2 linked regions of the Styela clava genome follow. The protein of the gene in region 1 purifies or fractionates together with the protein of each later gene. This does not show direct contact. Links are inferred from orthologs where the notes say so. Each region holds a gene or a part of one and is shown on either strand. Other genes may lie near its edges.

Region 1 (7,245 bases):
CACGAAACTATCAGTTACACCGATGGCACAGTGGCAATTACATCAGAGCCTGCCCATTCTGATCCTAATTCTAAACAAACCATATCAATAACAACAAAGTGTAACAAAACTTGTGTTGCCAGTATTCCGAAGAACATTAGTAGCCGATAGTATGCAATATTAATAACAACTCTAAGCGTCAACTTTACTTTCGATTGTATTTGCAAAAAGAAGAAAAAACCTGTACTTATCATTTGAATCACAAGATTCAAACCTAAAAGGTGATGGATGGATTATGACAGTATAACTGTCAACTGCACTTTCCATCGTATTTGCAAAAGAATAAAAACTTGAGTTTATCATCAAATTGAATTGAAGGACTCTTATAACTCTCAGTTGGTAGAGATTTGTTCAAGTTAACATCCACCATACCTCACTCATTCTGAGAACCTAGTCAGAGCCGAGAGGCAAGTTTAAAGATGATTAATTTTTTGTCTACTTGCACCCACTAAAATCATTTTTTGCAGAAACGAAGTTAGTGAGCTAGAATGAGTTATTTTCAAATTAAGAAACTTTTGTAATGAAAGAATGCTCGTAGCAAATCTACAACAAACAATATCTTAGTTAAGCAGAAGATGATGAGAATATTTAATCTAACTGCAGGCCTTTGGTGAAATTTAGAGTTAGATAACTCACGAGAAGGTTTCAAACTCCATGTTAGCTATTGTCATTTCAGTGATCACCAGTAACTTTCCTCACACAGAGCTTTTTCATTACTGAGTATGTGTGAAGCACATTTTCTTTAAAGTGTATAAATATCATCAATACCTGTCCCGAATCAGTGACAACCAAAGTCAAACTTGCTGTTGAAATTGTTAAATTAATCAATGATAATGAAAACTGTAGATTGGGACGTTCTCCTAGAATTCGTGAAACTTCTTTCGGAGTCTTTTTCCTTCGAGAAACCAGTTGATGTGATCGTCTTGTGGCCATCAATATTCTCCATATTGCTTCCCTTTAAAGTAATATCAGAATAAATCATCAGAAAAAATTAGTAAATGGATCAAGCTATGGTATCAGCTACATTGTCTGATATAAAAAGTTTGGAACAGCCGTTTTTTCCAGAGTGAAGGTTTAAACTTGCAAGTTGCAAACTAATCCTTAAGCCTGTGACTTCCACTTATAAAAGGATTACTGACAGTATTATATCTCTTAGAAAATTACAGACTTTTTTTACAGTTTTACAGACTCTTTGCCCTAGAATAAACATGGATAAAACACCATTAATATCTAATTGTACCACAACAAATAGCATGGACCAACAACTACACGTAATCATTTTGAACCGAATCTGAAGTAATTTGATCATTGATACCTAGCAGTAGATGCTTTACAAAGCCTTGTTCACTTTTTTGATGGTAAAGGCCATAAACAACATGGTATAAAAAAAATTTAGATGCCTAAAAAAATTGAGTTTTTTCAGCAATTGGCCTATATTATTGGTCTTACATAAGAAGTAAAAAAGGCAGTATTTTACTTGCAGATCGACTCTTACAGGCTGGATACAATAATAGTCGAAGCGTTAGAAAAATTGCTTCTGAATTCATTTCAAGATTGGATCTTTCATTGGGTTCATACCCGTGAACCCTTTTGACACCAAGATTTTATATACTGTGAATGACAATTACAATGACTAATGCTTATTAATATTCATTACATCACCTCACCATAAACAGATATGAGGAAAGATAAGACCTTCCTGTATACTTATCATGGTTCTTGTACACAAATTGCATACCAAATTTAACACTAAATGGTCAGGCTCTAACAAAAAGGGATAAACATTTTGACTAGAAACTCACTTTGTTGCCTGTGTCCTCATATCGAATTGTAATGTCCGCATACTTTGCCTGACTTCTATACATCCAAGATACTATAAAAAAAATATGAAAAACAAGATAAAAAATATGAGAAAAATGCTCAAATTTATGAACATGACAGTTCAACAATTAACTGCAGTAGGTTATGTATCTTACACTCAAACGTGGCTGAGTACCTAGTTCACAAAACAAAAATGAAGGATAACCTTGACAATGGCAAAAATGAAATAAAAATAGGTTTTCCATGAATAAAAATAAAACAGTGATATTTTGGGTATAATATCGGATCTCACAGGGTTTAGGGGGAACTTGAAAAAAAAAATATTGAACCGTCAGGCTATTACTTCCCCATTTAAGTAGCGGAAATTTGAAATCGATTGGTCTATTAGTTAACAAGAGAAGCTATCTCAAGTATAAAATACGGAAAAAAATCATCATTTCTACTTTCATTGGTATGAGTCTGGCATTATTTCGTTCTAGCGAAGTGAACGCTGTAAGAGCTTAAATGATGCCAAACAAAAATGGGGTCTAGCCTAGTACTTCTAGTGAGCTTGGGTTTCATTTTACTTACTGACTTAATACGCCAAGAATTTCATTCCACGCTGACCGACTTTTTTTTAAAAAAAAACATGAAAATTTCCCATCATATTCTAGTTCTGTGTTATTTAAGCAGTTCTGGCGCTCATTTTACATCAGATATTTGGCATTTTAGGTCACAGCGTTTACAGGTTTACTTCGCTAGACCCCATTATTCTTCTATTCAGTTATTCTCATCGATAACTGGATAAGCCTGTAAGTTTCCTAGATTATTCATTGAGTCATTGCAGCATACACAGAGTTTACTAGATTATAATGAAAAACATTAAAACCATAATGTGCATCAAATATTACCCGAACTGCATAGACGACGCCAGGTCCCATCACAGAATTATCTGGATGGAGCCATCCTCTTGAAGGTTTATTCACAAAGCTCCCTGATTTCCTCCATTCATTTGCTTGATCTCCTTCGATTACCTTTTTGTTTTTCATTCGATTCATCTCTTGTATTGTTTGCTTATTAAATTCACCAAAATCTAAGTCATATATCAGAATATATATAAACGTTTACCGGCGGAAAAGATAAAAACAAGAACAGCTCGGCTACGTCCAGACGTCTGAGACTAACTGTGAAATGTCAAGTTAGATAGAGATAGAGATATTCTTAAAAATTGTTGATCTCCAGCGCCACCTCACGATGATTCAGAATAGAGCAAAAATTACGACATACCGATGTGAATTTTTAGATACCTATGTCGGAAAATATCGGCCGTCAAAACGCGACCCTGTGTTTTCAATGTGCGCTTTGCCACTGCTTTTGATAATATTAAAACATATCCAAGAAAAAATCAAGACATGTCAGTGCAATACAAAATTTCATATTGATTTATAAAAGGGTACTGAGATTTTTTAAATCAACTTAAATTCTTTTTATTAATTTGAAAATCATTGTAGCGCTGCGTGTGTGAAGTGCTAAATTTATATCAGCGATTTAAAATGATATAATGATACGTGTTTATTTAGACTAAATTAGCATCCAGTTTATTCGAATCAGTGATATATATCTCGTTATATTTGTTCGGTTGGAATTCTAAAAATTTAAAGATACATTTTGAACAACTGGTTGCCGAATACTTCAACTATTAAACAACTATTAAATGGATGTGAAAATATCAATAATATTTGCTTATTGCACAGAACCGTTAACTTGTTTTCTACCAGAAATGCATTAAATGAATTCGTTGGATGTACTGAACTAGAAATATATATAGCTCCGCGGTTGGGCCGAATGAAAAGTTTCAATTTAAAAAAAGAAAGTAAACGTTTAACAATGAAACGAATTTCACACATTTCCGGCTTGTTGCCTGCGGCTCTTTTACCATAATATACTGCACACATCTGGCAGTGTTCATTCCTTGATATTTGAATATACTATTAACAATAACCAATTTAACATTAACCAACATTGCATAACAAATTAGCGATAGCGACTATGACATTTGCCCGACTTACAGAAAATGACGTTAGGAAAAATTTTCGGCAATATGTTGTGTTGTTGAAGCCGGTTTCAAACCGCCAAAAATTGAATTACAATTTTAAAAAGTCATGTATACATGTTTGTTTTGTTTCTTGTTAGCTTTTTATAGTAGTTTTTCTTGGAAATTATACAAGTGAGTGAAAAATCAGATTATTTTGGGAATAATTGAAGCAGGAAAATCGTCAAAAATTTGCTTTTCTAAGTCACTCACAAAAATGAACGTTTCGTTAATCGCAATAAAGAATGAAGTGAAGAAGCCACAAAACACAGTTTTGTTACAAAAATTTAAAAATTGAACACCACAATGATATTTTTAAATCCGATGACGGATCGGTATAAATCAGTGGTTCCCATTTTTTGGAATTTTTCAAGCCTCGCGCCCCACCTCAAAAATAACTAGCTAACAATAAGCTACAAATAACAGATGGTAAGGCGAAAGTATGTTTCATTAAAAAAAATCACTTTGGAAATACGTGGATGGAACGTAAATAATGAAATAAATGAAAGTTTTAAAATCGTGCAAAATGTGAATATCCGAAACAGGGCGGGCGAGATCAAATCTAACAAATATAATATATTTTTATTATTAATTAGCTTCCCGTCCCCTCAAAATTTGTGTACGCGCCCCTTATGAAGCTTCCCACCGTTTAAGAACAACTAAAGGAAACTCGACTTGATTCAGTTTATTGGGATTAATTAACTCGATTCACGAGTTAACTTGGTTGTGCAACTGTCGTGAATGGTGCCGTACTTAGGTGGCTTTAGTGGAACAGCTGTCATAAATATCGCCAATATCTTCAATGGGAACTGCACATTCTTTGATATAAAGTAGTATTCTTTGAGGGGTTATTCCAGTGACCGTCACTAGCAAGTAAATCCCGAGAGTTGATGAATAACACCCACACTTGATTTCGTCCATTTGGAATGCTTCTATGTCCAGAACACATTTGACTATTTTAATCTAGAATTGGATTAAAGCCATGATAAAATGGCAAACAGTGTCAGAACACAATGGCGTTGCATTTCACTCTGAAGATAAATATCTAAAATTGAACGTTTAACAGTATATTCGAATTATTGAGACATAATTACTTTTTACTGTGGCAAATACGAGGTGCTCAAGCGCAGCAATTGCTGTACCATCAATCAGAAAACTTGTCACTTGTCGCAAAAATTTCATTTTTTTTCATTTTTTATTATATACAAATTACGCCTCTGGAGCAAGATTTTCAAGATATCAAAAATTATAAAGTAAATTTTTATTTGTGCTTAATGATTATAAATATAATACTTACCAATTCATTGAAATTCCTGAGATTTAAAGTGTAAAAACACCCTTATAACTATTCGCGGTAACACTTCTTCTCGACACTTCAGACTCCTATAAATCAGGCAAGTCTAATTTTATCAAGGCCATGACCTTGGAAACATGTTTACCGCATGATGTTGGCCAATGTTCTTATAAAAAGTTCGTCATCAAAAATCGACGAACACGGTTCCGTGAAAACATAGGCTTCTATTATATTATTAATGCGCGTTTGTGGTGTGTTTTATTACGATGAGCAGGCTTTTTAATTGCTTTTGAGATAAACATGCCTTCTATGTTTGACACCTCATATCGTCATTGTTAAAGTTCGCAGGTTAAATACAATAACAGAGAAGATTTCTTTCATTTCGAAGTTTTGTTCTGCGTCAAACTGATATATATCATAAGCAAGAGAAGTTGACTATTACTATTGTTAGGAAAAGATGCGCAGGAGGGTGAGTAAATTCAATTTTTAATTAGTACGATAACTATAGATATTTCCGAATTTATAAGACTCAAAATACAATGTCTTGTTGTCGAAAGATCAAGGTAACTAGAACGTCTGCAGTTGAATAATATTTTATCATTACAGTAAAGAGTAAACACTCTTTAATGTTCTGTTAAATACTACAAGTGTTCATAGCAACAATATGTTTTACAAAACATTATTTCTTAAGCACCGCAAAATAAAATAGTGTTGAAATTAGGAGAAAGTTATCTATTTCTTCATTTACTTTTTTGAACTATATTTTGTCAAGTAAACAGCAATCGGAACAAACAACCAACATTCAAATATCTAATCTTGTATACGAGTATTATTTTATGCGTATACAATTCTTTTTGAAAATTATCTATTCAACTTTTCTGTAAAGCTTGACTGTAGGTGAATTATTTCACATTGTAGTCGTTGTTAAATTTATTTTACAGCTTATAATTATGACGTTATCGTAATCCAATATACATGTGATGACATAACACTTCAACTGACAGATAAATGCGCACATAACACAACGTGTTGGTCGAAAATACCCAAACGCAATTGCATTTCATATATTTTGGAAACCCGTACGTAATATACACATTGTATAGAGAGGCAATAGAAATGGCCTCGAGCCGTTTGGTCATATTCAAGGAGAGAATGAGCTAACGAAATAGAAAATTAGTAAATATTGATAACTTGAGTGTACGTACTGCTCACGGTTGCTAATTTGTCAGCTATCGCGCGTAATTGCAATATGGATACGGTATATTACTCTAAAATTATTGTAATATTTGCATTATTTTTCGATATTCTTTTTATCTATGCTTTCGAAATATAAATTGTTTATTGCTTTTATAAACAAGGTGATGATAGATGTGCAGATATATACAGGAAGTGCTGTACGTGTAAAACTCCCGTTAATTCTCTGATGTGAAAGCATTTGCCTCCGCGTTGGCTGCAGAAGGATTAATTAATATGACCAAATTTGGGCGATAGTTAGATCATGTGATTATCGAGAATATTTAAAATAACTTCGAAAAAAATTCGTTGAGATTTATGTTGTCTATATATGAGATGTGCCCAGCTGAAATGACAATGTCTTCATTATCAGCCGATAAGTAGAAGGATCATGCGTGCAATCTTGAGGATTGATATTTTGTAATATGGCGTCTGCTTGAAACAGCTCGCTCAGCTGGCTGTCTTATCCTTTGAAACATTAGCAGCCATCTGAGAGGTTGGAACACGCGGATGAGTTTTTCACCGTTTAAAATACTAACTTAGGTATTTCTACCTAAATACACTTTCAAGGAATGTGACTGGGAATTCGAATATTTATTAAGATTGAACCCTGACATCATGCAAAGAGTGGGTCAGCGTAAATATTGAATAGACGTGCACCTCATGCCAAAAAATACGTAACTGGGGTTTAAAATTAGCATAATTGCTTGATTGGGGTAGAATGGTATAGGAAATTACACTTGGTATTTCAATTTTTTATTTTATCAGTATGCTAAATAAAAAATCT
Region 2 (7,636 bases), on another chromosome or scaffold:
ATGATATTTAAAGTAAAATTTTTATTAACGGAAACTAAAATAATTAGGTTGAATTACTATTTCAAAGTCTATAAAAGAATGTCCAGACTTTCTTTTTTATTATTAACAATTTAATCAAGTTGAAAGTTTTTAGTCAAAAGCTCCATCCAACATGGAGGTGGGATCTGACTAGTTTTTTCAGATTTGGAAATAAGTTTTCCCGACTACAAACTTTCAATCTGATTCTAACATACAGTATAAAATTAAATAAATAGATCCCAAAACTGATATATGTGAAAGTTGAGCATAAAATATTGTTTGTTGTTTTTTGATTTCTCTACATCAGTGGTTCCCAAAGTTGATTGTCCGTGGGGCCAAAATTAGAAGCGGAAGTATATTCTCAGGCCATGGGAGGACAGTGCAATAGGCCGACACCAGTTTGTGTAATTGATATACCAGTTTAATTGAATCCTTGTGTATATATACATGCTTAAACAGTGATAATGGTGCAAATGAGTGAAAAAATGTAAAGTTTGGCGGATCAAAATAAATCGCTAAAAGAGCTATTAATGGACCGCGGGGCAATAAAAATAAAATTTAGCCTGGAACAAGATATTTAGATTTGGAAGATTCCTCTATAGTTAGGGTCTGGTATAGTTTAGTACCACATATACTTCTAGTGGGCGTTGCATCAAAATTTTTCGACATGACAATCCTAACCCCCCCCCCCCTTTTGAATTTTCCTTCTGCTAAAATCGCCCATGTTTTCATCAGCGTGTTATTTAGGTCGTAAACGACCTTATGTCGGTTTTTATTCTTTCTAAACCATAAATTTCGTGTGCTTACATCGCACATTATGTTTGGTCGCCGTTTAGGAACATACCGTCACTAAAAGCGAAACACGGTTAAATATAGTGGGTGGGATTTGCCTTTTATCCATTACTTTAAAATTGTCGTAGAAAATTTTCGTGTTATCATTAAACAAGGTTGAAAACGCGATTTTTTCCCGGTTTGTGATGATATATAAGATAAGTAATGCGAAGTATATCCATCAATTTTTATTGTACTGAAATGAATTTTACTCCATGAGAATTTACAGCAGATTTACGGATTTTTCAGGAAGTTTTATCTTTAAAAATAATCGGAGTGTCAGCATTGCGATTGAACGGAGTCAATGTTACAAGCACATCTCAAATTTGTCGAATTTGCAAAATAGAAAAAATACGGATCAAAACAATATATGATAGGCGACGGGCAGTTACCACAAATTTTTATTTTTATGTCGGCAAATGGCTGAGGTATTTTAAAATTGTGAATTGTAAGAAATTGTTTTGTTTTGTCGACGCAAACGCTGGTTAAATTGAAGACAATTAAATTAATAAAGCAAGACATTTTAAATATGCCCTTATCGGTCACGAATTGATTACTTTGCACAACAGAAAAATCATTTTTTGTTGTAAACGTCGGCTCTTTAAACAAGTGGCGTAATCGAGGCGATGAATAGGTATTTTTGATTTAACGATATACTTCATATGCATTTTCATTGTATGAAATAAAATTGTACTTTTCGGGATTTTATATCAGTTATTGAGATTTTTCTAACAGCGATAACGAGTTGGCAAGATTCCAAAAATACGTATTAAAATTAAATACACCGTTTATCTCATATTTTTATGTTCACCGATCGCCGTGGCATTTCAGAGAACTAATGTTTTAATTTTGACGTAAGAAGAAGCAACCGCGAGTTACGTTGGACACAATTAAACTAATATATAAAGACATTTTAGAATTTTGTAGTTGTCAGAGATTGAATATTTCACGCGAAAAGAATAATCATTATACGCTGAAAAGACGTCCCTTTAACGAGCGCGTAATGCGAAGACTGTTACAGACCGCAATGGGAATTTATGATTATGAAACCCCCCCCTTTTGAAAATCCTGGCTGCGCGCCTGCCCCCACCTGACTACGTCATCCAAAAATTATGTCAATACGACATCACAATCACAGCAAAGAGCTTGCCAAATATACGTACGATCGCCCGGAATGGCATCGGCGCCGACGATGAAAAACTGACTCACGTCAGCGATCTCTCTCATACTAGGATTGTAGGGACGAGAAAACGAGATGTCGGATGCGCAGACGAGCGGGTCTTGGATGACAGTCCGCATATTTTGAAGGGCTATATTACGTCACTGTGACGTTGCAGTGACGTAATTTTTGGATGAAGTAGTCAGGTGGGGGTTAGGATTGAAACGTGAAAAAATTGTTATGCAACGCCCACTAGAAGTATATGTGGTACTATACTATACTAGACCCTATAATTACGGCAGCAGAATTTCAAAAAAATATTAATAAATATCATAAATTATAATTTTACCTGCACAGCAAGGAGTCCACTGTCTGTTGGCAATATCCGATATGTATGTATTGACCCACCGTGCCTAGGAATACAACATTATTTAAGAAAGTAAATTTCTATAAAAAGATTGGGTAAAATACTTTCTTCATTTTTGAAAGAGGCCATTGTAATTTCAAATCTCTATTTTCACCTAAGACTGCCAAGCCTACTGAACTAATTACAAAATCAGACAATCAGAGTTACCGTATGTTTCAGCAAATAAGGCGAAGCCTCATTTTAGCACCAAAAACTGAATACAAATCATGTTTGATAAGACTTTAGGCCGATAAAATCTGCTAAAATAACCGCAAAGTATAGAGAACATTTGGAAGGAAGGCATGATCACAGACGTTTGAGAAACGTTGTCTTAACCCACCAAGCAATAAAGATAACAACAAAACAAGTAGATACTCACAGAACGCTGAGAGCATACGCTCCCATGATACTTTCGCTTGCACGAACAACAAAACTTCCGTCCAACCCTGCTTTGAAGACAAGTTCTTCTGCTCTTTGTCGACTGAGTCGACCATGATACCATTTCTCTTCAGACATTCTCAGTGTTCGCAAGAATCACATGTTCTGACTACTTTTACAAATAAAACTACTGTTAATGCAGTAATGAAACTATTTACGAATGAAAGTGAACATTTCAATATATAGTTCAGGACAATTGAAAATTCATGTCGGTTTACAGTTGATATTGGAGCTGAGCATCGGTTTGAATCAATAAGTTATTCGAATTGTTCCAGGCAAAATTTTGAATCGTCACCATTTTGCTTTTTGTCTGCCAAAGATCATAGTAAATTCGTTAATTTGTCTGCCAAAGATCATAGTAAATTCTTTAATTTCTTAAAATGCAAATTTGACATATGACCATTTTCTTTTTAGCGTTTATGATAATTTTAATTTATATCTCTGGGGGCCCAACACAATAAAAAGTCACATACAATTGCGTAGCTTCCAAGTATTCGAGATTCGATTCGGAAAAAAAAAGTAATTCAATCCTGAAATACAGTACAGCACACTATCCAAATTCCAGGAATTTCCCTCCATTTGGCTGAATAAAATAAACACTCTGTGTCTCACAAACGAGAGGCGTCTGGGACCCCGTCAGATGCTTTATATCGCGTCATGCTTGTCGTAATAATAATCGAAATTAATCGCGGCCGTCACATGACCAAAATTGCCGTTTCTTGCTAAAAACTCTCGAATGCTACGGTAATTTTTTTTTCTTCGGTAAATCGGATTAATTTTTTTTCAAGGAATTCAAAGAAGACGTTACTAGATTGCGCTTTTTTGTAGTATTTGGCGCAACTCCATTATACTGTATTATTACCGATATTGAGGGATAACAATGTCCAGACGTCTAGTGTCTGATCATTTGCAAAATGGGTTTCTCTGAAACGGGACAATGTCACCCGATTTGTATAGTGTGCCGTACTGAAATACTCATGTAACTGAAAATGCCCAGCCCTAGTTGTTATCTGATTCATTGAGGCACACTTCTCAGGCAAAATTCTCCAATTCCAAGACTGTTCCAAAATATTGATGAAAAAACAAAAACTAGGCATGTTTAAAACAAGGAGTGATGCCAGACGCAGTATCAACTGATTGGGCAATTTAGCATAAGGTGACTCCAACTGTAATCCAGATAATCAGCTTGACAATATCTTCCGAGGGCTAATTTTATTTTTGTTTGTATATTTTTCTTTTTATTAAGTAATAGGGTGGTGTAGCCAATCTGCGGACCATTTCATTCAAACCGCTACGTTTGGAATATGAAACCGTATGGAATTCGCAAGCTTATTTAGAGAGACGATGGGTAGTTGGCGACATGAAAAAATGATCTGCTTTTTTTCTTCGGTCAGGTTTTCGGGCGAAACTATTTTGTTTGTGGCCGAAGTTCAGTGTCATTTCGCAGAGCTACGGGGGATAATTGGACGATAACGCATGAGAAATATCGTCGCGGTTCGTTAATTTATTCGGCATTAATTTAATCGATAAAGTTGATGGCCGCAAATAGGTCGTGGCCGCAAAGTGGCTAAGCCACCCTATATTTTTCATGCTCCTCTTTTTTTATCTCTTCTAATTTTATTTTGATGATTGTATGTACAGATGTACCGTAAACGCAGGTAACTTCGGATGGTTTATAACTTCGGATGAAATTTTCAATCGTTTATATCTCGACTAAATTACGTCATATTCTGCTTCTGGCAGTTTCTATAGAGAGTCCTTATATATCTTAATCTCTTATCATATTCAGTCGCCTAATAGGATTTATTTTTTGACACAAAAAATCACCTTTTTGCCAAAAATTGACACCTCGCTTTTGAGCGGCTAAAATAGCGACTTCTATCGACGCTAACTTCACTAAAAGACCGTCAATCGCTAGAGGGCATACACAATGTACAAGGAAAATTACAGTGATCACTAGATGTCGTACGAGATTCAAGTAAAATATATTATTTTGATTTAAAAATTTCGTCAAAATATCGACGTTACGGTGCTTACGCTGAACGTGACGTCAACAACGTGATTCAATTTCGCTCCATTTAAGGCCGACGTCACATTGCGTAACTCGCTGCGACATTTGAACGCCAGACTATGTGGCGCCACGTGTAGTTAAATATAAAGTGAAAACTCCTACCTGATCCTCGTCACCAAATCCTACAAAAACTTAATTATAGCCCCGGTCATATGCTGTTTATTTATTGTGAATCCGATTAATGCACATTAAATTTGTGTGTTAACATTTCGGCATTCTTCGACCGTATAGATGTTGTTGATACGTAAGGCTGATGAACAGCCAGATACGCGTATCTATACTATCACAATGACAAGGTTTTACGATCGGCGATGATAATATATTAAGAGTAGAATGTTGCACAGGTGAGCATGAAACTCTGCACAGGTGCACACAGCAGGAGATTGGAGGTTTTTGGCGTTTTTATCCGTTTCATGTCTATCTGCCTGTGAATACATTATATCTGAATTATCAACACGGCCACAAGCTACACTGTTCCATATTGTTGTCCACTTCCATTTTTTTTACTTTTACTACCTACCGTAATTCATCATCCATTTTTCTTTTTTATTATTTTCATTCGTTTCATTTTTGTTTTGTATTAAAAATTGTTTTCCATTTTTACTTTTACGACTTATTTTATTCGTCCGTTTTTTATTTTCATTTGTCCCATGTTGTCTCATTTTTGTTTCGTATTGAAACGATCATAATAGCAAGATATAGCACTTTCATGAAATTAAGAATAGTCAAGAGATAAATGGTTTAGTTTTGCGAAACGTCAGGAATAGGGCTGGGCAAAATTATTACATGCGTTGTATTTTGAAGCATTTAGCGGTAATAATTATGGCGCGACACTGTCAAAATCGCCGAGTAAAGTGCTGAGTTCGCAAATTCCGCAGATAAAATTGTGAATTAGTCGGTAACGGTTTTAGCTATAATAACCGTTGGGGTATTGTTTTGTTCAAAAAAGTTAAAACTTGAGGGAAATAGTTATAATTAGTGTCCGACCCGCTATCAGGACCAAAAGCCTTATGACAAGTATAAATGCATAACGGCCGATTTATTCAATCATTATTATAAATAAAAATTCAGTATTCGCACAATCGCGGGTGCAAAGCATAACAACATCAATCATCGTCTTAATAAATATCTCCATCTCGGCGACGATAATAATATCACCGTTCGCTTTAAACTCGAACGATTAATAGTATACAAACGGTGATAAGTAAGATCAAAGCCAACACGTAAGATTAAATCAGAACAAAATTAATTTGGGTTTTGAAATCAGTCCTTCTTGTCTTCAAGAGCTGTTGCCGATGTAAACACACGGGTACACCAGATATATAAAACTTTGATGTCCGCCGACCCGGAAGAATTAATAATCACAAAAACGGCCATCATAGATGAACGTCAGTGTGCGACACGCAAAACGAATCACGGCGTCGTAAGTTCTACGCAGCGACGTTATCACGCGTCACTGATCACGCAGACATTTCTCTCTCACGACGAAGTGACGCAAAGCGAAAAGTGGCCATCCGAAGTTATAAACATTTGGAATACAGATCGGCAGGCAAATAAAGTCAATAATTTGAATGAAAAAAAGTATTGATTGATATGAAACCGAGTTTATCGCGAGGAGAAAGGCTTCAATGTATTATATTCCAAGTTTGGCTTCAATTGAACAATAAACGGCGGAGAAATTGTTCATAATATAGTGAAATCATCCGAAGTTACCTGCTTTTACGGTATATGTTTTATTTAACTTAATACTCCTGGGTTAGCGAACACGTACCACTTCTTCTGACAACACATTTTAATCTAAAATCTGTAAATTCTGACATTTCAAATATTACTTACAACTTAGGGTTTTGTTCGCTTTCCTGATTCTGTAATCAGTTCAGCAGTTTTATTTATTTAGTTTTTATCATTTATTTTGTCCTCTTTCATGCTGATTATGGAGTCAAAATAATAAACTTATACCGGTCAATCATTCCACCTAATGCAGTAATGTCAGAATGTTTCAGTCCACTCCTTAACTCAGTCCCGTAACTCCAGAACAGTCTAAAACGTATGTGGGGGTGGCCATTTCTAGAATAACGGTACAATTCAAATTTTCAACTATCTGCCAAAATCAATCGTCTGATCGTGAAAATATCAAAAAGTTCACCTAATAATATAAAAAATTCACCTAATAAATCAAAACATAGCGACAGTTCTCGGTAAATCCAACCCTGGTTCTATTTCCTTGTTTCGTTCAAATTATTACGCTTGGATGATTTATGACGTCTTATTAGTGGAGGGAGTCTGCTCTTTTTGACATCTCGGCGTTGGCGCAATGGATAGGAAGGATAGGATTTACATATTTATCCCGGGGGAGAGAAAAGCCGATAAGACGGCTTATCCATATGGCGAACCACGGCCTCTCGTCCGGTTACCATTCCAAGTTGGGTATGGGATTAGTTATATTGTTTGCTTTCGGAAGCCGTAACCGACCAGCGGTTACGTGAGCCACCCAACGACGACGCACATAACCATCCTGCATGGGATTCGAACCTGCGAACACCCACACAGAGTAATTAATCTAACGCTTAGCCAGTTGAGCCACACCGCCGCGCCTGAGTGTTGGAGGAGAACGTTCGCCATATAAATTCTGATTTACTCTGTGTTCGCAATTTCTCATACTTTTGTGTTTCTCATACGTTTTGTAATATCCGGTTTCAATTGTTTTTTTTTA

What was found.
Region 2: the proteins of SHC-transforming protein 1-like (region 1) and phosphatidylinositol 3,4,5-trisphosphate 5-phosphatase 1-like purify together in Homo sapiens (affinity purification with western blotting; 4 studies listed by BioGRID and IntAct, with this or other methods). This does not show direct contact. The link is inferred for Styela clava from reciprocal best matches to the Homo sapiens genes SHC1 and INPPL1.

Annotation. Positions count from the first base shown.
Region 1 is NC_135252.1:18,273,066-18,280,310, forward strand, and holds the start of SHC-transforming protein 1-like, read right to left. Parts: upstream 3,028-7,245; 5' UTR 2,898-3,027; coding exon 2,751-2,897; intron 1,913-2,750; coding exon 1,842-1,912; intron 995-1,841; coding exon 808-994; intron 1-807. UniProt on the Homo sapiens protein: Signaling adapter that couples activated growth factor receptors to signaling pathways. Participates in a signaling cascade initiated by activated KIT and KITLG/SCF.
Region 2 is NC_135256.1:234,141-241,776, reverse strand, and holds the start of phosphatidylinositol 3,4,5-trisphosphate 5-phosphatase 1-like, read right to left. Parts: upstream 3,022-7,636; 5' UTR 2,931-3,021; coding exon 2,794-2,930; intron 2,422-2,793; coding exon 2,358-2,421; intron 1-2,357. UniProt on the Homo sapiens protein: Phosphatidylinositol (PtdIns) phosphatase that specifically hydrolyzes the 5-phosphate of phosphatidylinositol-3,4,5-trisphosphate (PtdIns(3,4,5)P3) to produce PtdIns(3,4)P2, thereby negatively regulating the PI3K (phosphoinositide 3-kinase) pathways.